5 linked regions of the Nothobranchius furzeri genome follow. The protein of the gene in region 3 purifies or fractionates together with the protein of the main gene of each other region. This does not show direct contact. Links are inferred from orthologs where the notes say so. Each region holds a gene or a part of one and is shown on either strand. Other genes may lie near its edges.

Region 1 (4,277 bases), on a different chromosome or scaffold from region 3:
ACATATGCAACACTTTAATTTGAATAATTTAACAAATCTTTCAGCTGTTCCAAGCCCACACATCATATTTGTTCAGAGGTGTCCTGCAGAGTGTGAGTCACGCTGGTTCCCACGCACAAGACACCTGCCAACCTTATCAAACATGTTAATGAGACGGAAATCTGGCTTTTATCTTAACTGCTGAGGGAGAACTGCTCCCTAGGATGATGGAGACACGCTCTCCCTTCACAAGTCAGACTCAGCTCATCTCTTCAACATTAAATTAACTCATTTATAGAACAGTTTCATTACTTTGACGATACTCGGGTCGGTAAACGCCTCGTTCAGAATGTACAATTCACTGCGGAGCTCCAAAGTATCAATGATGAAGTCCTCCTCTCTGGTGGAGACCTGCATCAGACAGGTGAGGCCGAGGAAACTCCTGTAGGAATGATGCTGTCACAGAAAAAAAAGAAAATGTTTAACAGAAAAACAGCCTCCAAAGAGTTTAATGACTTCCTAAAGCTACTTTTATTTTAATTAGAACAGAAAGACACGAGACTTTAGTACCTCAAGATCCACAGCAAATTCAGACGACTTGCACAGCTTCTCATTGAGAGTCACTAGATCCTCCAGCGAGTCGACGAAGGTTAGGTTTGTCTCAGCCAACGGTTTGTACATCTAGAAGGAACAGAAACAGATGAGACACACACCGGCACAAGATGATTTTGTTGGGTTACTACAGGTTAATATTACTTGAGGCTCTGGCTTGGACAGCAAGCTTTCTGGTACTATGAGATGGTCCAGTTCATACTGGTACGGGTGTGCAAACCTACATAAAATAAAAAATAAACTCTACTTAGAGAAATGAAAACATGAAACACGGTGTTGACACAACCAGGGACAAGTCTCACATGTCTTCAACATGTTCCTGCGTCCTCTGCTGGTGGATAAAGTCAGCCAGGGCAGCTGGGACGTCAAGGTCCTCCGGCCTCTCTTTACGAATTTGTTTGTTGGTAAAATCTACAGTTTGAGAAAAGAAAATAAATAACTCAGATACGCTGACGAGTTGAAATGGCAAATCAAAACATGTGCCAAAGGTGCTTCTTACAGGAGGGAAGAGCCTTTAATGAATTGGGCTTGATGAAGATCTTTGGAACAAAAGGTGTGTTGCTGTTGTCGACCTTTTCTTTGAATTTCAGCTGAGGCCTTGCAATGTTCTTGGCATGGAGCAGTCGGAATGTCTCAGAACGACTGCCAGAGCTGGAACCCTGTAAAAAAAAAAACACACGCACACACACTCTGCTTATTATGATATAAGAATTTATAGATAAGCAAGAAGGTAGTTCAAAACAGAAAAACTGTGATAACAGGAAGAACTGTTTATTTCACCTACCTTACGATTCCAACTAGAAACAACAATTTTCGGAGGCTGAAACCCAACAGGCATGACAGGCTTCTGGCTCCGATTAACCCCATCAGCTTCATCAAGAAGAATGCCCTAAAAACCAGACAGCAGAACCTGGTTGGTCTGCAAAGGTCTTTGCATTCATTAAGTAATTTAGAGCCAAAGGTGCAGGTCATACCGCTCTTTCAAGGATAACATCATTCGAGTCCACAACCAAGTCAAACCTCTCCTCTATTCCTGTGAGTTTGTCCCGGTCTTTTATGTGAGATCTGCAGCCATGGTTCTGCATTATCTGGCTCATGCTAAAAGACAGTTAAACAGATTAAAACCTTGTTTTACTCCCTCAGAACTCAGAATACTCAGTTCAGGTTTAAACTTGAGCTTGCTTCTGAAAAACTGGTCAGTGACAAAAAGAATAAAATAATTGTTAATTATGTGTTGGTTACATGCTGATTGATCATTGACATGTGCCAATAGAAACTACACTTACCAGTGCAAAAGCTTATCTCCTTGACTTTCACAGAACTCCTGGAATCCCGGGAAGCTCCGATAGAAATCATACTCATCTCCAGACTGAGGTAAGCCAGCTGAAGCTTTGGTGGCCGATAACACTGCACCCAAACCATACTGTAAAGAGACCAGGTTCAGTTGTTACTATTACTAAAGGATAATAACAATGCAATAATATTTAAAATCTCATTGGTTTGATTTAAATGTGATGTTGATTTGCCTAAAAGCTTGGCTGTTGGAAAATGCAGCTTTTCATTCTTTCTGATGGGGCCAAATGTAACTTTGACCAAACAGAAAAAATATATGAAGAACTAATCTAAACAGAAAAAAATCTAAACATTTGTCTTAATTTAATGGTGATTTTTGTGTGCCCCAACTCTAGCAACTTTTAAATCAAAATTAAATATTTCATGCGCTCCTTATTTATTTAAATGCCTCGTTGTATGAAATGCATTACACAAATAAAGCTGCCATGCCTTCATAGTTTATTTTACTAAATTATATTTGACAATAAAAAGGTTATTTAAGCTTAAATACTGCAGACCCCGAATCTAGTGGAATAAAAGCTTGTAGCAACATATTTTGCTCTAATCATCAGCTTATATCTACTGCTGATTTGGATCCCTAAATGAAAAAGCTGTCAAAAGCTAGTTGGCAAAAAGCTTCGTTACACACAACCACACCGTTGCACCTTTAATTTATGAATAGTGTTAAGTCATTGTCTCTGCTTTGCTTGACTTCAACTCCCAATGATGATCCTGCTAACTGGCCAACCAGCTCACCCACGTTGGACTGTTAGCATAAGCTAAAAACTGGCTAGCTAGCTAGTTTTGTTTACTTACTTTAACGAAGGTGTCCGCGTCTTTGAAACCAGGACATAACTCATCTTTCACTTCTTCAGTAGTGTCCAAATTACCTCCCTGACAGCTGCTGTCCGTGGCATCATTACTCTTTGAAGAATTCATCATCTAAATTTGAGTTGTGTACATGAGTGCCTGACGGAAACAGCGCCACCTTTACCTTCAGTGTTAATGGTAGAGCAGTAGGGTCACAGCGCCCCCTTTCGGCATGGAGTGGACAGTGTCAACATTACACAGGAGTGAATACTCATAAAATATTTTAAAATTGATTTAGTTGCTCTCTGATTTGAAACTACACTCAAAAATGTAAACATAATAAACGAAACACATAAATAATGTACAATAGTGTACAAAATACTGTTGAAAAGCTTGAAGTTATTAAATATAGCAACATTTTTACAAGTGTTTGTACATATAAATTAATTTTCTACATGATAAAGAAAAGACAAAAACTGAATCTGAATCAACAAATAGATAAAATAATTGTTGGTTTAAATGATATAAATCTGGAATATTTGCTGTGTATTGTTGTAATGCTGGCTACTCTCACTACAAATCTGAAAGGATGTTGGTCACAAATCCCGCAGGACTGTGCTCTGGTCAGCAGAGCATCCATCCAATGCAGTGAGACTGCAGACGCTGCAAGATTTCTTCTCTTATCGCCCCATTTGATCCAGTTTAGACAGAAAGATGCACCAGGACTCTGGTACCATGAGGGGGCAGTGTTTACATTTGTAAAGTGTGCAAACCACTCCTCAGCATCTGCAGCACATGAAAAAGGAAAATGCACCAGTCATGTCTCCACCAATATTTGTTTAAGAGACGTCTATATTATATTTGAATCGAAAGCTTATTATTTTTGCAGAGTTTGACCAAGGATGAAGGTATCCTAACTGTAAATGTATTCATTCCCCTCAGTGTTTGTTGCCAAAACAAATTAGAAAAACCGGGTGTTGCTGTGATCCAGTGGTCAATACATGAGAAGAGCCAAAGTATTGACACGCCAGCTCATTATAAATGATCTGTGGTGTGTGGGGAGAAACCTCTCTTTTCTTCACTTCCCATTCAAATCGATTTCTTCACGAGGCCCTCTCCTTCTTATTATCTTAAAAGCATCTCCGCAACACTGACTGGATCAATATTTCACAGCATCTTTCCATGTCATTCTGTTGTTTCAGCGGAGAGTAACCAAACTTCGGCACACACGTGCACTAATAATTCAAAGAAATGAATCAGCATCTGTTGGAAAGTCGCTGCACAAAACCAGCAACTTGATGTGTTCGTTTCTAAAGATATTGAGTGTTATATTACTTTGAAACCATTGAGTTATCACTGATAACAGTCTTTATAATGACGTATTAATCCAGATTTAATAAACTTTGTCATATTATTAATCTATGTTATTGTTGCATTTCACCCCAATTTATGTGCTTTAAAAATATGATGCATTTTCTAGCTTTGATAGCGCTCCAAGGCTCTACTCCAGTGGGGTGTCCAGATCTTTTAAAATGGGGTGGCCC
Region 2 (4,527 bases), on a different chromosome or scaffold from region 3:
GCTCACAAAATACACTGAAGGACATGGTTGACGACCACGGAGAGAATTCTAGTGAATAAACCACCCTTTTTGTGGCAGACAAAGGCCCTGTCCACACGTAGCCGGGGATCTGCCAAAACGTAGATATTTTTCTACGTTTTGGCCTGTCATCCACACGAAAACTGATCTTTTTAAAAAAACTCCGGCCAAAGTGAAGATGTGCGTTTTCTCCGTGTTGGGTGTCTGCGTGTGGACGGACAAAACCGGAGTTTTAAGGTCCGCAACGTCACTTTCTGCGACAAAGCAATGCTGACATCACGTGTGCGACCTGTGTTTACACTAGCCGACAGCATGGATGCCCTCAGAGCTGCGCTCGCTTTATCAATTGTCCAAGCGCTTTCTGCTTGTTTGTTTTTGCAAGAGGAATTACTGCTCCTTGCGGAAGACCACAGACGAAGGACGAGGTTAAGAACGGGGAAAGTACTGCCGCCTACAGGTCTGGCATGTCCTTAACAACGTATTTATCCAGGTACGTGTGGACAGTTTGTTTTTAAAACGAGGTGGTGTGGATGCAAGTTTTTGGAGGGGCGGATATTCGTTTTTAAAAAACCCCGGCTACGTGTGGACTAGGCCACAGTCTCATGACAGAATAAAAAAAGGGAAAGGCCCCACATGACCAGACACAGACAGGTTGTAACCATCTAATGACTTTTGAGGTTGTTTTTCTTTAAAACAAATCAGCGCGGCGGCGGGGCCCGAGGAGCCGGGGAAGAAGCACTGGCCGAGCGAAGGTGCAGTGAGGAGGAGAGCCGTCCTGACAAATAAACGTGTGTGTGTGTGTGTGTGTGTGTGCACGCGCTGTTTACTTTCATAATGCAGTAAGTAAAATAAGACAAACCTCACATGTCTCGAGTCACAATGAATTTGCGCGATACTTCAAAGCCTTGTTTACCGCTGCTACCAGAAACATTGAATGGAAAGAGAGGAGGCGGCGGCCATGTTGTAGCTGCGGAGCGTCGAGGCAGTAAAACTGACAAATAGGGCTGGGCGGATCGAGCTAAGATATCGATAGTATCGATCTAACGTTGGTATTGAGTATTTACTAGATACCTGCGTGATGGTATCGATTCCGTTTCTTCTAGCCTGGCAAGCATTGATTTACTCACCGCTACAGATGTCGGTCAACGAGGCAGTCCACCAAACTCCGTCAAAGAAGATGCAAAACACATCCTTTTCCTAAATAAACGTTAGTACTTCTATCTGATCTTGACTCAAACAAAAGCTAAAAAGTCATAATAGTCCAAACTTGACGCCAAAGCCATTTCAAACGAGCGGCTGACCGCCGACTAGTCAGTAGTGCTGTACGATACTGCAAAATTTGGTATCGATCCGATACCAAGTAAATACAGGGGCTAGTATTGCCGCCCAATACCAATACTTTTTACTACTAATCTAGTACCATCTAGTTTTGTGGGAATTATTAAGATAAATAGGATCAATAAAATTTGAGTTTTCAGACAACATCCTGCCTAAATAATACATTTATTTAGTCTGGCTTGCCAGGCTAGTGCTGGCGCGCTGTTTTACTTTTTTTTTTAATGTAACGGCGGGCTGCCCCGTTGACTGACATCCGTGGCATTCCAATCAGTGTTTTACTGGTTTGTTGGGCCAATCACAGTGCTCTTTTAGCGAGGTGGGAGGGATGTCCCTGCAAACAAACATGGCTGCCGCTCGAAACTGTCCAAACATAGGTATCAGCCAGGTAAACTACAAATAAAGATGGCTGCTGTTCTGTAGTGGTCCAATCATGGCGCTATATAGATTTCATGGACCAATCGCAACACTAAGTAGGCAGGATGTTATTGGAAAACAAAAAAAAAAAAACGTAGATCCCACCCCATTATTTAGATCTGTCTATGGGTCGTGGCTCGCCAGGCTAGTGGGATTCCTGTTCTCATACTCTTTAGATTTGAGCTCCGGCAGGTCCAGGTGCCAGTGTTCATCACTGATGATCCTCTTCTCGTCTTCGTCCAGCTGCTTCTTTGTCTCAGCATCCAGTCCCCTCTGCATAAACTGAAACACAAAGCACACATTTACTCAATCTGGACCCAACCAAAACCACCGTTAGCCAGGTCCACAACAATGCTGCCAAGATCATCAGCTTCCTGGAAGATCCAGAACTTCTAAAGTTGACTTCCATCAGAAATCTTCTCTCTTCCCACAACTCCTGGTTCTCAGGCAGCAGCAAGTTTGGTTCCTTCCTAGAGGTTCTAACAGTAAAACAAGAGGCACAGCTTTCCCTTCCCAGGCTCCTCTCTGGCGGCCACCAGGTCTCCCAGAACCAGTCGGTCCATCCTGGACTTGATTCTGTAGGACGTTGCGTGGTGCTGCTCAGGATGGAGGACGTGTTGGGAGTGAAGATTCTAATCATTGCACCAGAAGCTCTGGCTTTTTGTGAGCTGTGGTTCGGATTTTTTTGGACTTTGGTAGAATCTTCTCTCAGGTTCGGTCCTGGTTCAGAGTGGTCCAGATGAAGGAGGCACATCCCGCTCCTCCACGGGTTCACAGAGATCAGATACATCTCTGAAACACGCCTAAATCCGCTTCGTCTCGTTGCTTTACCCCGAATTCAAGTTCAGTTTCAGGGTGATAAACGCTGCTTGGAGTCAGCATCTGGGAGGAAACTAGCGTCTTCTTATCACACATCAAACGTTCATTTCTGTTTAGTCAATGACGTTCGGCGCAGAGCTAGCAGCTAACGCTTACCTTCATCCGCAGCAGGTTTTTTGACAGTTTGAATGAATCTTCCGCCATATTGTGCCGATTAATTTATACTAATTTAAAGTAAATCCGAACTCATTCAAACGAACTCGTTTAGATCTAACAATCAGCACTTAGCATTAGCCACTGGGCTAAGCGCTCACCACAGTCTGAAACAATCGAACATTGATGCGCATGCATGGTCGATGTTAAGGATGATGAATCAAACACGAGCAGCTGTTCGAATTGGATCCTGGTCATCTAACCTTTTCTAGAAAGATAAAAGGACATGACCGTGAAAACACTCGAAGATGAATTTGTGTAAATTATTTCAGTTTATATGTTTGTTTGTTTAAACCGAAACACATTAGCCAACAATAATTTAAAGACCAATGTGGCTAGCTTGAAGCCCCTCCCATTCACCATGGTAACACATGCTGGAGACAAGCCCCCAAAATTCAGCGCACAGATTTCACTCACAAACGCAGAAAGGTTCACAAATGAGAAGCTTTTCGTAAATGCACGTTCAGCAATTCGGATGATCTGTGAGTTTATATTACAAGTGTTCTTACAAATAATATTTGTGAACCACAGAGTGTGAACTTCAGAATTAGCGTGTGCATTTGTGGAAAATGTTGCGTGACTTATTTTTTCACATTATATTTATGAGTCAAAGAGTGTGAATTTCCGAATGAGCTTGTGCATTTGTGTTCCTCCGAATTATATTTGTGAAACACAAGAGTGTGGCTTTCCGAATGAACGTGTGCATTTGTGGAAAACGTTGTGTGACTTAATTCTTATGTCACTGCTTCCACTCCAGTCGGGGTTCTTTTTCCCCCCCCCTCTCTCTCTCTCCTCTTCCTGAGGAGGATCCACTCCCTCTTTCCTATTCACTCTCTCTCTCTTTCTTTACATTTTTAATCACAATTGTCTATTTTTTGCTCATTTTAATTTAATCATTTTCTAAATTCTTTTTTCTATTTTACATGTTTTGTTTTTGTGAAGCGCCCTGTGATTTTTATCTTGAGAGGCGCTATAGAAAAGATCTTTTTTTCTCTCTCTCTCTCTTAATTCATGCACTTAAATATTAATGTTCTGATTTTATTGAAAAACTTGTTCTGTAATAGTTCCTTTACTATTGTGATCAAAAACATTTAATCTCAACTCTGAGGCTGCTCTGTAAATAGTTTTCAAATAAACAATACACATAGCAACTTCTGATCAAACTTAAAGAGCAAGTAACGTCTAAATTAACTTTTTTTTGCTGATGAACTGTATAAATGAGTGTCTAATAGTGTTTTAAATGTGTGTATTCATTATTTTAGCATTTTGGTGCATTTTCTTAAAAAATTAAAAATTCTGCCTAAATACCACAGTATAGCTCCACCTTCAGCTTAAAACATAGAATTTGACTCATTTTGAATAAATTTTAGCCAATGGCTAAAGAGTAAGATACTACGTAATCCAGTAGAGTACTACGTAGCAGCTCTGTGTCAACGTTATAAAAGCATCGGGAGTCTCGGCCACGCCTTGTGGCGAGTTGGGAGTTGGATTTGCATGAGAGTGTAGGAGGCTAGCCGTAGTTCAGCATTAGCATATAGCATTAGCATATCCTAGTCTTTAGCATAGCTTTTAGTGTTATACATACTTATTTAGTGTTAGCTTGGCTGTTGGATATTGTAGTTTAGTTACTGTTTGGCTGTTAGTGTAATTAGGAAAGTAGTTCGGGTTTAGTGCTCCATATCGTGTTAGCATGGTGAGATGGTGTAGTGTAGTATGGTTGCGGAG
Region 3 (3,773 bases):
GATCTTCTTAATCTCTACATCCCCAGCAGGTTCAGTGATCAAAGTCTACTGGTTGTACAGCGCACCAGGCTAAAGACCAAAGGTGACAATGATTTGCTGCTGTAGACCCCAGACTCTGAAACTCTCTCCCCCTGAGCCTGAGATCAGTGGACTCAGTGGTCTCCTTCAAAAAGAAGCTGAAAACTCACCTGTTCAGGCTGGCTTTGGTGTTACCTTCATCACTCCCTCTCCTTATTCTGCTCTACCAACTCCACCTCTCCCAGGATCCACTGATTTTCTTCTTTCTTATTCATTTTCTCTTTCCCTTTCCTTATCCTTTCCTTTAATCACATATTTTTTCTCATTTTAACCATATCTTCTAATCATTTTATCTATTAATATTTAAAATGTATTTTTCTTGTGAAGCAACTTGTGATTTTTATCATGAGGCGCTATATAAAAGATCATTTTCTTTCTTTCTAATAATTACTATTAATGATCTGTTATTCAGAGTTAACAGAACTAACAGAGACTACATGTCTATCGAACAAGAGTCAGGAGAAAAATCAAAGAGAAGATTTCCATTCACACATTTATAGGTCTGGTTACAAAAGGATAAAGAAATGCAATGAAATATTATAAAATAAAGAAAGAGTTCAGAGATTCTCAGTCCAAACGGGCTCCACTTCATAATTCATTACTCTCCGGTGAGCACCGATGCTTCTTGAAGATGCTGCCTCACCACCTCATCCAGCACCTTGCTCACACCTTTACAAGCTGTCGTTGCAGCTTCAATCAGTGCTTCCAGGTGATCCTGATGCAGCCTGGCGTCCATCTGAACCAGAGCAATCTGTCCTCCCCTGGGAAGCAGCGCCAACGCCAGAGAGCTGACTCCTCCGCTCTCCTCGGCGTAGCAAAGGTCAGCGAGGGGAGTCTCATCCACAAAGCCCACGGTGCAGGCGCACACGTAGTCTCGCATCGGGATGCCAGCATCAATCACAGCCAAGGTGGCTGCATTAACACACACACTGTAGTTCCCACCATCTGACTGCAGAATCTGAAAAATACAAAACATCTTCGTGAAAAAAAGGAACTGCTGTCTTTATTAACATGAAAAGAGAAACTTAAAGAATCTAAGATGCACCTTGACATAAATGTCTATTTGAGAGCGCGGGAAGAGCTGGGTCATCACAGCAGCTTCAAACGTTTGCTTCAGGTGGAGACTCATCTCGGTGGATTTACGGTCTCCGTGCGGCCTCCTCTTCCTTTCTGCGGTGCTGAATGTGGCCATGCTGTACTGGCAGTTAATGACGGCTCGATCGTGGAGAGTACGACTTCTTGAACCTCGCATCTAGAGGGAAGAATGAGATGAAGAAATACAAAAATAATCACGACTGGACTTGTTTGATTTTAACATAATTCCTAAAAATATGCTAATAGAACTAAAGTAAAATTAAAAAAAATATCTGGATGTTGAAATGTCCATTTTTTTTCAAGACCAGGAGTCCCTAGGTTTCTGGAAATATGTGCAACATTAGATTTAAGTTTCTATTATTATTATTATTTCTCAACTGTAAGGTTACATCGACAAATACATTTCTGGTGGGTTACCACATTTGAACTTTGATTTCATATTTATAACTAGTGATTTGCATTCATTATTCTTTCATTCGCTCCAGTGTATTTCTAATTTAACCTCCATGCTGTAGCATTCTGCTCTATCACGTCTGATGCACAGTAAACATTGTAAAATATTATTATGATCTCACTTTATTATACAAACACTAATAGGCGCGAAGATGTTGTTAAATCTAATACTAGGAAACATATAGTACCGCCTTTATATGGTTATGTGTTATGAAGTCCTCCAAACATTCGTGACGTTACATACCTCGTGCGGACCGTAAACCACAGCCAGAACTTTGGTGTTTCCCTGTTCCAGGTAAGCGGAACCGTCGGCCTGAGCGAACACACCCAGGCGAGCCTGAACTTTCCGCAGTTCGGTGGCTTTCCTTCCATCCAGGCGGTATCCCTGGTCCGACAGCAGCTCGATGCCCGCCATGTTTCTGCAAACACCCGCCTCACGTGTTCAACGCTGCACTACATTACCCAACAGCCTCTACCAGGGACAACGGCAAGCTCAAAGCGGGGGGAAAAAAAGCGCACGAACGTTTCCGTTCCATCCGTCCATCCTTTTTCTGACATCTGGATGGATGGATGATCTCATTTAAGTATAATAATATAAATAAATATCTATGAAAATATAAAGTCAAAATTCAAAACACAACCACTTTCTACATTTTATTTTTTATATTTAGAAAACAAATTCTAAAAAAGGGTTTCAATGATCCAAAACCAGCAGATTTTGAATTCCTGCAGCTGGTTTCCTGGTTTGCACATTTTCTATTACCCTGCCCATATTTCATTATTAGGTTTCCATTCATGCTCTCACTCCTTGTGAACGTTCTGCTTCGGTCTTTTACACAATATCTTTTAAAGGCGGTAAAACCAATTCAGTTTATAAATAAAGGGAACACATGAACACATCCTAGATCAGAATGAATGAAATATTCTTAATACTTTGTTCTTTACATAGCTGAGTGTGCTGACAACAAAACCATATAAGAATTATCAATAGAAATCAAATTTATCAACCCATGGATATCTGGATTTAGAGCATCGACAGAATTAAAATGTATAAACACACTACAGGTTTGGGCTGGGCAATAAATCGAAAATTTATCGTCATCGAAATTTCAGACTCTTATCGAGATAATTTTTCCCATGTCAACAAATTTAATAATAAAATAATGAAAAGATGTGTGTAGGTTGGCAACATTCCTGTCCCTTTAAGATGCCGTACCACCTGGAGTCAGGTAAAAATGTGACTAAACGTGATACACGTGACAGCCCCATCTAGTGGACCACTCTTGTTTCTGCGCATACCTGTAGTTATCATCCATTTATCGTTATCGAGGTGAAATCCTCAATACATCATGATATTGATTTTAGGCCATATCGCCCAGCCCTATAGGCTGATCCAACTTTGATGTAATGGTCTCACAAGGGGTTTGATGATCTCATCTTGGTACCTAATGGCAGTCAGGCAGCCTCTGGCGAGCACATGGAGGGCTGAGCTGCCCACATCCTGTTGCTGAACCTAGACCTGACCAACTGCAGCAACCCCAGATTATGGTACTGCCCCCACAGATTTGTACAATAGGAACTAAGTGTGATGGGTGCATCACTTCATCTGCCTCTCTTCTTACACTGACGCACCCATCCCTCTGGAACAGGGTCCATCTTGACTCATCAGACCAGTTCTAAACCCAGTTTCTGCAGTCTCCTTAGATGTTTTCTATGCTTGATGCATGCCAATGATTTCTTTTCCACGACCACCAGATGTGTCTTTACACATGATTTAAGAAATGGGAAGCAACTCATTGTACCAGTTGGGGTTAAATAACTTGTTGCCAGCTGAAAGATAATCACCCAGGCAGCAATTATCCAATAGGAGGCTCTACTGTTTGCTTGGTTAAATGCAGGTGGCGACATTTTTGGGGTGGTGAGCAGTGCATGTGTTCTTGCTGTACCACCCTTTTCTCTTCATTCTTGTTAGTCTGCTTTACTGCTGTTGCCTGTTACACCAAAATTTCCCCACTTAGGGGGAAAATTCAAGATCAAGTCTGCAAATGATCTTAAGCAGTCCTAGTGAATTACAAAATAACCACAAAAATTAAAAATAGCAGAAATATTATTTTTTCTTAAAGAGCAAGTCACCTCCTAGCAGTCTT
Region 4 (4,548 bases), on a different chromosome or scaffold from region 3:
GTGCTGAGAAGCAAGCTCAGACAGCGATAGTGTGGGTGCTGCAACAGAAGGCCCTCCGCTTCCAGAAATGAGCGAGTTACTCAGAACTGGGCTGCGGTTGGTGTGCTCCTGGATTAAATCAGCCAATGAAGGACTGCCTTTAGGATCGGCCGTCGATGGATGCGGAACAGAACTGAGACTTCCAAACTCAGGAGGAGGAGCTACAGTGGAGCTTCTCACCTTGGGGGTGTTTAGTGACAGGTTATTGAGTGAAGTGGAAAGGATGGAGGGAGCTGCTGTGTTAGATTCAGAGGACATTTTCAAAGATGCCAGAGTTCCAAGTGATAGGCTACTCTGATTAGGAATAGTCGGCAATGAATTGGAAGCTACACTCAATGATGAAACATCTAAGCAAAACTTGTTATCAACTGCGCTCATTTTACTCTTTCGCTCGTGCTCACACATGAGCTGAGCCAAACTGGTGCTGCCGCCGACGCCTCCATGAGCATTTTCAAGCTGAAAACGTTTCTTTGCACAGCTGCTACTTGCAGGCCCGGTCTCGAGCGCTGATAAGAGGTTTCGTGCACTTGGTTGTGTTTGTTTATGTGCCGTGGATGTAGTGTCTGTGTGAGAAGCAGACAAGCAGGCTCCTTACCTTACGAAAGCCAAGCGAAGTTGTCGAAGAGGAGGGACGAGAGGATCACATGAGCAGAAGTGATGAATCACACCACATTTAAGAAGCAAGAACAAAAAGTAACAAGGCACTTTGTTAAACACATGCATGATGGAAATGTGTCATCAATAGAGCCTGTAGTAAATCCCTCTTAGTGATAAAGTGCTAAGCATACAGAATTAATGATTATTATCTGATTTCACTCATTTCCAATATTTAAAACAAATAAAACTTCAGGTTTGATTCACTCTAGGCGTACCTTTCTCAGCCACAATCTCCTGCTTGGTTCTTTGTGGAAGAGGCGTCGTCTCTTGACAAACTCTACTGACTGATGTCATCTCTTCATTTGCACTTCTGGTAACCGGGGCCGTTTTGGTGTCTTCAGACAGGACTGCATCCAATGCCCTCTGCGGGTCAAACCCATGTCTGACTGCAGCCTGGGTCAGCACCGAGTCTGGCATTGCGTCTCCGAGCACGGTCCGCATGTGGTCCAGGCAGGAATACAGCTTAGCTAGAACGAAACATGGGAGTTAGAAAAAATATATTCGAAAAAAACTATCGATTCAGCAGGATCAATCATATGTAAAAACATAAAAAATGTATACACAAGAATCCAAAAACATTTTGTCTGTAGTTGCAGTGAAATAAAAAGAGTACCTTGATTAAGAGGGTCAAGGTTGTGGTCGGCTGTTGGGGACATGTGAACATCTTCCACTTCATACTCTTCCTCCTCTAAAGGCTCCTCTTTGGGGGCTTGTCGCTCTCGACGTGAGTAAATGAACTGATTAGCTAAATGAACAAAATTTTGTTTAATTAAGTGCTGACTGCAAACCTGTAATACACAACAGCATCAGCCAAAAGATGAAAAATCAAAGACCCAGCATTCTTTAAAGAAACGCATATTGTCTGATCATTTTCATGTCGGAGTATATCCTCATCCCATGTTGACAAATTATGGAGTTACCGCTCAATATCTTCAAGACTGACTAAACTGAAGCCATTTCATTATTAGAAATTTTCGATTAACTTTAATTGGATTGACTGAAGATCAAACAACAAAGTTTTAGCCCATAATGTGTTAACTTGACTCAGTTATAGACATAGCTGCAGATTAGTTGTGTCCATGCAGAATTTTACTAATGCTACATAGAAAAAAACATGTAAATACAAACAGGTCACATTTTGATTTTTCATCATTCTTTTCAGAGGTGACTGATAACCAGAGATTGAAGAGGTGATCAATATCGATCTTTTGTTCTATTTGAGCAGTTTTGGCAACATGGGAAGACCTATTAGAATAGGTTGTTTTATTTGGCTGGCTGGCATTTTGATCAGAGTAATTGGTCACTTTAGTTACAGTAAAGACTTTAAAATCTGTTACTGGACATTTTTAAGAAAGGGTCTCAGAAGGAAACTAAACCAGTCCTTTATTAATACAGTATTTCCTCTTAATGAGTCACTGGAAACCAACCTGTTGCTGGTGATATACAGTAGTCATCATCCACAGATTGTCCATACATGTCATCATCTTCAAAATCTGATTAAAAATATACAAAAGAACAAGGTCAAATAAGTGCTTTTAATCATTTGCCAAATATTTCTTTACATCATTGTTACAGAGTGCTTTGTGCCAGATGTCACTCTGCCTTGTCAGCAATTTTAAAAATCCGCAACAAACTAACTAGCATGATGGTCGCCGGGTAATTACTCCGGTTTGAGAACCGTAACCGTTGAGTGTATGTTAGCTGTCTTAGATGAAACTTGTACAATTCATGCGTTTAGAGCTTTCTAACAAATCACTGAATAGCAGCCGCTACATTTATTATCATGCAAGTTGTTTTCATTGATTTCAGGTTTTTACGTTAACACCTGAATCAGTGGATATGCACATAAACGCCGGTACTGAGGTGTAATTTGTCTTTTTTTTTTTCTTGGTGCCAAATGACACGACAGCATTATTATTTTGGCAGGTGAACGTCGAACTAGCGTTAGCTAGCTAATTTTAGCCTAGCGGCTAAGGTGTTTAGCAGTCTGAAGGCAACGAATGAAGCAACAAATACTGACTAAAGTAATCTACCTTCATCGTAGTTGTAACCTCGAACATTTCTGTGGCGAGACATTTCGTCTTTCTGTCCTCTGTTGGTCCCGGTGTAGATGTTATTCAGCTCACATACATGTGTTTACCACCGCGGCTGCCATTGAGTTTGCTCCTGTGTAGTTTTCAACAACGAGTGTACGAATTACGATTTATTTAGCAGCACCGAAAACAACTAAGCTAAATGTAAAATGTTTTCTAACGTTTATATTTTCACAACGGATCATACAAATTTTCAAAATGCGTATTAAAGTTAAAAAAAGATAACTTCAAGATTTTTCCGCTGACGTCACTTCCTGTATGTACTGGAATCAGTTCTACTGACAGGAGCGGCTCTGAGTGGGCGCAGTTCAAACGGACCCACGGTCAGTTAATATTTACAAACTAATTTTGGACAAATAAACTAATACAGCTTAGAAATTAATTTGATACGGAGACAGTAATCATAAAAAACAACGAGCTAAATATATGTCTTCGATTATCAACCTTTATTTAACTTATTATGACTTTAGATTGTGTTCATTGTAGGGATCATCTGTGAATTTAAAAAATCATCACAGTTTCTACTAAAAATAATTACGCACCTGTTTCAATATGTGATTTGAAACGGTTGTTTTGACTTGTTGATCAGTTAAAAAAATTTTGTTACAAAACTGCAATGTTCAGCTCTATCATCGTTTTTCCAACAAACTAATTTAGTTTTCCAAGAAATTGCATTTTCAGGTCTTATCAATCTGCCATCAAGTGAGAGCAAACAATGAAGAGAAGAAGATGCAGAAAAAAGTAGCGAGCATTTTCTTTTCAGCAAGTCGTAGAAACAACTTAACAGATCCATCATGCATGCAACACACTTTTATGTCCCGTCTAAGAAGGGTGCAAATGTCAACAATCATCCTGTCAAAGGTTATGCCCCATGGTTAAAGAACAGCCCATCTGAGCTCACAACACCTCACATACACAATCTAGACTGACATATTTTTTTCCTGCTATCTTAGCACTACGTTGTTCAAGAATACAATATCAAGATAAACAGCTACAGAGTTTAGCATCCGACTGCTGCGGTCACCATAGTGTTTTTTTCCTGTGTCGCACGGCTTGTGGAGTTTCTCTGAAACAAATTCTGTCTAAATATCATAAAAATGTAGAGAAGAATGATGCTATGGTTCGTAATTTTGTTTAAAAAATTTTCAAATTGTATCAAATGTCATGATTTCTATTTTACACAGATGAATTGAGAGCCACGGCTACACTCATTGTGTATGCCTGTGATGACTCCATTCTGGAGATAAACTCAAAGAGAGAGGTATTAGTGGATTATTATTAATGGATAATCACGAATTGGACAGAATATTATCGAACCTGCTGGGAGATTATTTTTGCGGCGTGTACGCATCTGGTCAGCTGTCTACCATCCCTAAAAACATTCAACTATTCAACTCAATTCAAGTTTATTTATATAGCGCCAAATCACGACAAGAGTCGTCTCAAGGCACTTCACATAATAAACATTCCAATTCAGGTCAGTTCATTAAGCCAATCAGAAATAATGTTTCCTATATAAGGAACCCAGCAAATTGCATCGAGTCACTGACTAGTGTCAGTGACTATACAGCAATCCTCATACTAAGCAAGCATAAAGCGACAGTGGAGAGGAAAACTCCCTTTTAACAGGAAGAAACCTCCAGAGAATCCTACTTCCTACCGGCCTACTTTGTCGTCTGATTCTCCTCTTTCGTTTTTCTGATGATAAAAAAAGGAGAAAATTATGAACGAAACATCATCTTTTAATAAAGTTTTTTCT
Region 5 (4,592 bases), on a different chromosome or scaffold from region 3:
ACCTAACGACAAGCTGGATAAAATCTGTTGCTGTTCCAACTGCTGCAACGGTTCCTTTCAGAATAAAAGCTGAACCATCACGACCCCCTTTTTGGTCTCGCTAGATGCCAATAAAACTGTCGTGACCCGGAAGTATCCCAAGACTGGTCTGGTCGGACGGCAACCGCTGCTTTTCCTAAAGGCTTCGGTTCCAGAGAAGGTCAAGCTGTCATGGCCTGAGGTATATTGTTCCCCACACTAACCCTTCTCCTGCAGGTGGGCGGTGCCGGAGAACTGCCCAGCTGCAGCCACTCAGCTGCAATCACCGGCTGGCTATATGAGGGGCAGTCTGAGACCTACACGACGTCGGATGATTAACTCGTTTGGGTATATGACCTAGTCTCGAGCTCTGTCGCTATCTTTGAGCGTGTTTTGTTTTTGTGCCCTTGCTGATTGCATTTTCCTACAGCAGATATCACTCTACATCATCCCGCCAGCCGATCTCTCTCTCTCTCTCTCTCTCTCTCTCTCTCTCTCTCTCTCTCTCTCTCTCTCTCTCTCTCTCTCTCTCTCTCTCTCTCTCTCTCTCTCTCTCTCTCTCTCTCTCTCTCTCTCTCTCTCTCTCTCTCTCTCTCTCTCTCTCTCTCTCTCTCTCTCTCTCTCTCTCTCTCTCTCTCTCTCTCTCTCTCTCTCTCTCTCTCTCTCTCTCTCTCTCTCTCTCTCTCTCTCTCTCTCTCTCTCTCTCTCTCTCTCTCTCTCTCTCTCTCTCTCTCTCTCTCTCTCTCTCTCTCTCTCTCACACACACACACACACACACACCAGAACCAGCTGCTAATGGTTTGTCAGGAAAACTTATGAGATGTTCTCCATCACTTTGGAATAAAAAAAGACGGTAGACTGGAGTTCTTCAGACAACCCACTTCACCCTCTATGTGTGTGTGTGTTTGTGTGTGTTGTACCTGCGCCCTTTACTCTGCAGAGCCTGGCAGGCCGTCTGGGTGAAGATGACTCCCTGCAGCTCCCTGAATTCCAGGATCTCCAGGAAGTTGACCACCACCTCCACCCCCGGCACCACATAGTGGGTCAAGTCTCCGGGCAACACCTTGCCATCTGTTGAGGGGTCATCAGGTCGTTACCATGGCTACACACAACATATTCACTGTTTTATACAGAAATCAGATGTTCTGTTACACTGATCTACCTGTGATAATAAATCCATCAGAGAAAATACAAATATTAAATTATATCGGTCCTCTAACGTTCGGTTGGACAAGAATGTGAGTCTACCAACAGCTCCAATCCATCCATCCATCCATCTTCTGAACCCGCTTTGTCCATGTAGGGTCGCGGGGGGGCTGGTGCCCATCTCCAGCAGTCAACGGGCAATTAGGCAAGGTACACCCTGGACAGAGAGCCAGTCCATCGCAGGGCAACACAGAGACACACAGGACAAACAATCATGCACACACACACACACACATAAGGACAATTTAGACAGACCAATCAACCTAATAGTCATGTTTTTGTACTGTGGGAGGAAGCCGGAGTACCCAGAGAGAACCCACGCATGCAAAATGAGACCATGCAAACTCCATGCAGAAGGATCCCAGGCCGGGAAGCGAACCCAGGACCTTCTTGCTGCAAGGCAACAGCTCTAACCACTGCACCACTGCGCAGCCCAACAGCTCCAGTCCGAGTCATCAAATCAAGTTTAACCAATCTGCTTGTTAAATCTGTTGGAGAAAATGAAGTTTAAAGCAAAATTTTGTTTAAATGAATCAAAAAAAATCTTTACAGTATGCTCTAATGGGAAACAGGTCTCAACACAAACGGTTGGTTTCTGCTTGGTCCTAGAGCTCAACCAGTGTCAATTTAGTATAGCGTAATATTGTTTTTGGATGGTAAAATGTGCAGGGGTCAAAACTTGACGTTGGAAAAAGTGGGGAGGGACATGCCCCCCCCCCCCCCCCCAATTACGTCCATGCATTTACTGATTAGTAACAAACGATTATAAAACTTTCACTATTAATAAACATTGTTTTACACATTTATCTCTTCACTTGTTGCCACTGATGAAAGGAGGTCTGATGTGCTTGTCATTTTCCTGAAGTTTGCACTCCTCAGGGCTTTTTGACCCTAATAGGCATCCGTTGGTAAGGTCTTACTCCAACACAAAAATGCTGCTTGCTTGCAATGTTTTAGGTGTCTACTGCTCCCCATCAACCAGGAAAAATACACACTGGCACATTAAAGACAGTTTTAAGTCTGTTTGGATCGCTGGTACATATTATATAATAGAACAGTCCTTTGTCTTTATGTCTAACTGTTTTATCTTGTATGTTTTTATCTTATCTGTTTTTCTTTAGTGTAAAGCTAACTATGTGTCTGTTGCTGCTGCATCTTGGCCAGATCATCTCTGTAAACGAGAATGAGCTCTCAATCGACTCATCTGGTTAAATAAAAATAAATAAAGGTTTAATAAATGAAGGACTGGAAATAAAACACTCGTTAGCTCTTAGTGGCTGGCTGTGTTTTTAGCGACTAGATGTGTTTTATCGGCCGGTTTATTTAGTTATTTTTGTTTGTTTTTTGCGACTAGTAGTGTGTTTTATAGACTGGTTGTGTTTGTAACGACTAGTTGTGTTTTAAACGGCTGTTTGTGTGTTTTTAGCAACTAGTTGTGTGTTTTGGCGGACTTACCGTTAGCACAGGCCGCCTGACACAGAGAGCTGAAGCAGGGAACCCGCTCCCTCAGATAGTGCTCCCGAACCACCCGAACCCTCCGGCCTCGGTAACTCTTCAGGTGCAGAATCTTCTCGGTTTTAATCATCCCGAACTCTGAACCGAAATGGATCAGCAGCCGCTGACCCAAAGTTTACAAACCGGAACTTTAAAGTGAAGACTATGTTTTGGCGGACTTGTGAGAGGGAAGCTCCAAGTGTTGTGCCGAAAAGAGCATGCCTGGCGAAATGTGCATCCCCGTTGTGGAAAGGCGCTTAAAAAGTACTATTAATGTAATATTATTATGTTTATCTGCGTGATTCCTTACAAAAAGATCGTTTGTAGGCAGATAAATTAAAGAAATTTATGTTTAAAACATTTTTATTTGAAGAAATAGTAATAAAGTAGTAATAAATATTTTAAAATGAGTAATTTTGTGTCACGTGTGTTTTTTAAGAACCAACAACAAAATAGTTGGGAGAAAGCACAAAAATACATAAAAAATGCTCACTAAAACATTATTCTCAAACGTTCAAAAACGTAATTTTTTTATAACTATTTCATCATATTTGTAAACAAAAACAAAACGCTTTCACGAAAAACACGTAACAGAAGCGTGTTAGCCTCGTCGCTCATAAAGTATTCTAGTTTACCTCTATGCTTATTTCATGGGGATACGCATTTCGGCAGGCATGCTCCTTTCGGCACAACACCTGTTTCCGTGTTGAGAGAGTCGGAGCCACGGTTGGTGCTGTCCTTTTGCGTTCATGTACTGTCGGACAAAAGAAAACTCATGGATTCTCTTCTGTCCCGCAAACAGAAATTCTTCAGGTGTTTTTCAAAAGGTTTTTGAATTTACCAGAATTTTCTGAAATAAACAAAAAGACGACGTTTACAAAATATGTTCTAGGGGTTGATTAAAAACACTTTTATCTGGAAAAGTTTCACATTAAAAAATTGTTCACAAAACAGTTAAATGTTTGCTTAAAGGTATCTGTGTTGAACTAGCCTGGCAAGCCAGACTAAATAAGTATATTATTTGTATTTAAACTTAAAAGGGAGGAATCTGGTCTAGTTTTACTAGCCTAGTATTGAACACCTTTTCTGGTTAGAATACTAAACAGGAAATTCTGTCATCAGCACTTTTTTTCCCCCCTCTGTGGCAAACAGCAAATCTTTTATGATTCATGTGATGAATTTATTGTAGTATTGTGAGAGGTTAAACATTTTACAGGAAGCCTCTAGGTGGACCTAGTGTTCTGGATGCAAAGTGGGGTGTACTTTAACATTAGACAAGCGGAAGTTCGTTGCCGGGAAGCATGGCTGTACCTGTGTTGGAGTAATAAATATTCCCAAAGAACAACCCACTCTCCGTGAGCTTATTCTTGCCACCAGAGGATATTACATTTATATACAATTTTAAAAAGACCCAAAACATTTTTTTTACAACTAGAAACTGTTTTTTGAGCCTTTGTACAGCCTATGAAATGTTGTTGGGGTCTACAATGGCCCAGGAGCTCTGATAAATGATCAAACACAAAATTATAATAAAGACCTACAAATAAGACCTATAAACTGGTTTAGCCAGCCCACTGGGTCAGAACCAAGCAGAAACCCCGAAGACCCAGACCTGAAACCAACACGGAAGTAAAAAAAGTGCTTGTTGTAGCTGGATTGGTTCAGTTTATGGGTGTCAGTCATTTGCTCCCACCCTCACAGCCCGACTCTCAGCTTCATCTCTTTTCTCATGTTTGGACTGTCTGGGCGTGATGAGACGTGCAACACAGCCAAGATGAAGGTGTTAGGAGCCGCCTATGGGGAGCCTAAGTCACGCCCATCTACTTCCGGACCACGGGTCCACGGAAGAACGAAAAAATGAATGCAAGTCAACG

What was found.
Region 1: the proteins of exosc4 (region 3) and exosc10 purify together in Homo sapiens (affinity purification with mass spectrometry; 9 studies listed by BioGRID and IntAct, with this or other methods). This does not show direct contact. The link is inferred for Nothobranchius furzeri from reciprocal best matches to the Homo sapiens genes EXOSC4 and EXOSC10.
Region 2: the proteins of exosc4 (region 3) and mphosph6 purify together in Homo sapiens (affinity purification with mass spectrometry; 7 studies listed by BioGRID and IntAct, with this or other methods). This does not show direct contact. The link is inferred for Nothobranchius furzeri from reciprocal best matches to the Homo sapiens genes EXOSC4 and MPHOSPH6.
Region 4: the proteins of exosc4 (region 3) and hbs1l purify together in Homo sapiens (affinity purification with mass spectrometry; 3 studies listed by BioGRID and IntAct, with this or other methods). This does not show direct contact. The link is inferred for Nothobranchius furzeri from reciprocal best matches to the Homo sapiens genes EXOSC4 and HBS1L.
Region 5: the proteins of exosc4 (region 3) and dis3l purify together in Homo sapiens (affinity purification with mass spectrometry; 5 studies listed by BioGRID and IntAct, with this or other methods). This does not show direct contact. The link is inferred for Nothobranchius furzeri from reciprocal best matches to the Homo sapiens genes EXOSC4 and DIS3L.

What each region holds. Positions count from the first base shown.
Region 1 is NC_091755.1:29,809,115-29,813,391, forward strand, and holds the start of exosc10 (exosome complex component 10), read right to left. Parts: upstream 2,946-4,277; 5' UTR 2,866-2,945; coding exon 2,740-2,865; intron 2,015-2,739; coding exon 1,878-2,014; intron 1,690-1,877; coding exon 1,566-1,689; intron 1,481-1,565; coding exon 1,376-1,480; intron 1,251-1,375; coding exon 1,091-1,250; intron 1,003-1,090; coding exon 894-1,002; intron 812-893; coding exon 736-811; intron 661-735; coding exon 550-660; intron 436-549; coding exon 292-435; intron 1-291. UniProt on the Homo sapiens protein: Catalytic component of the RNA exosome complex which has 3'->5' exoribonuclease activity and participates in a multitude of cellular RNA processing and degradation events.
Region 2 is NC_091744.1:80,075,055-80,079,581, reverse strand, and holds the start of mphosph6 (M-phase phosphoprotein 6), read right to left. Parts: upstream 2,946-4,527; 5' UTR 2,794-2,945; coding exon 2,746-2,793; intron 2,053-2,745; coding exon 1,940-2,052; intron 1-1,939. UniProt on the Homo sapiens protein: RNA-binding protein that associates with the RNA exosome complex. Involved in the 3'-processing of the 7S pre-RNA to the mature 5.8S rRNA and play a role in recruiting the RNA exosome complex to pre-rRNA; this function may include C1D.
Region 3 is NC_091751.1:51,168,958-51,172,730, reverse strand, and holds exosc4 (exosome complex component RRP41), read right to left. Parts: upstream 2,098-3,773; 5' UTR 2,042-2,097; coding exon 1,871-2,041; intron 1,331-1,870; coding exon 1,124-1,330; intron 1,037-1,123; coding exon 677-1,036; 3' UTR 558-676; downstream 1-557. UniProt on the Homo sapiens protein: Non-catalytic component of the RNA exosome complex which has 3'->5' exoribonuclease activity and participates in a multitude of cellular RNA processing and degradation events.
Region 4 is NC_091742.1:448,022-452,569, reverse strand, and holds the start of hbs1l (HBS1-like protein), read right to left. Parts: upstream 2,946-4,548; 5' UTR 2,773-2,945; coding exon 2,730-2,772; intron 2,190-2,729; coding exon 2,124-2,189; intron 1,442-2,123; coding exon 1,310-1,441; intron 1,164-1,309; coding exon 912-1,163; intron 630-911; coding exon of another isoform or gene 1-629. UniProt on the Homo sapiens protein: GTPase component of the Pelota-HBS1L complex, a complex that recognizes stalled ribosomes and triggers the No-Go Decay (NGD) pathway.
Region 5 is NC_091749.1:66,618,560-66,623,151, forward strand, and holds the start of dis3l (DIS3-like exonuclease 1), read right to left. Parts: upstream 2,946-4,592; 5' UTR 2,810-2,945; coding exon 2,680-2,809; intron 1,090-2,679; coding exon 939-1,089; intron 1-938. UniProt on the Homo sapiens protein: Catalytic component of the RNA exosome complex which has 3'->5' exoribonuclease activity and participates in a multitude of cellular RNA processing and degradation events.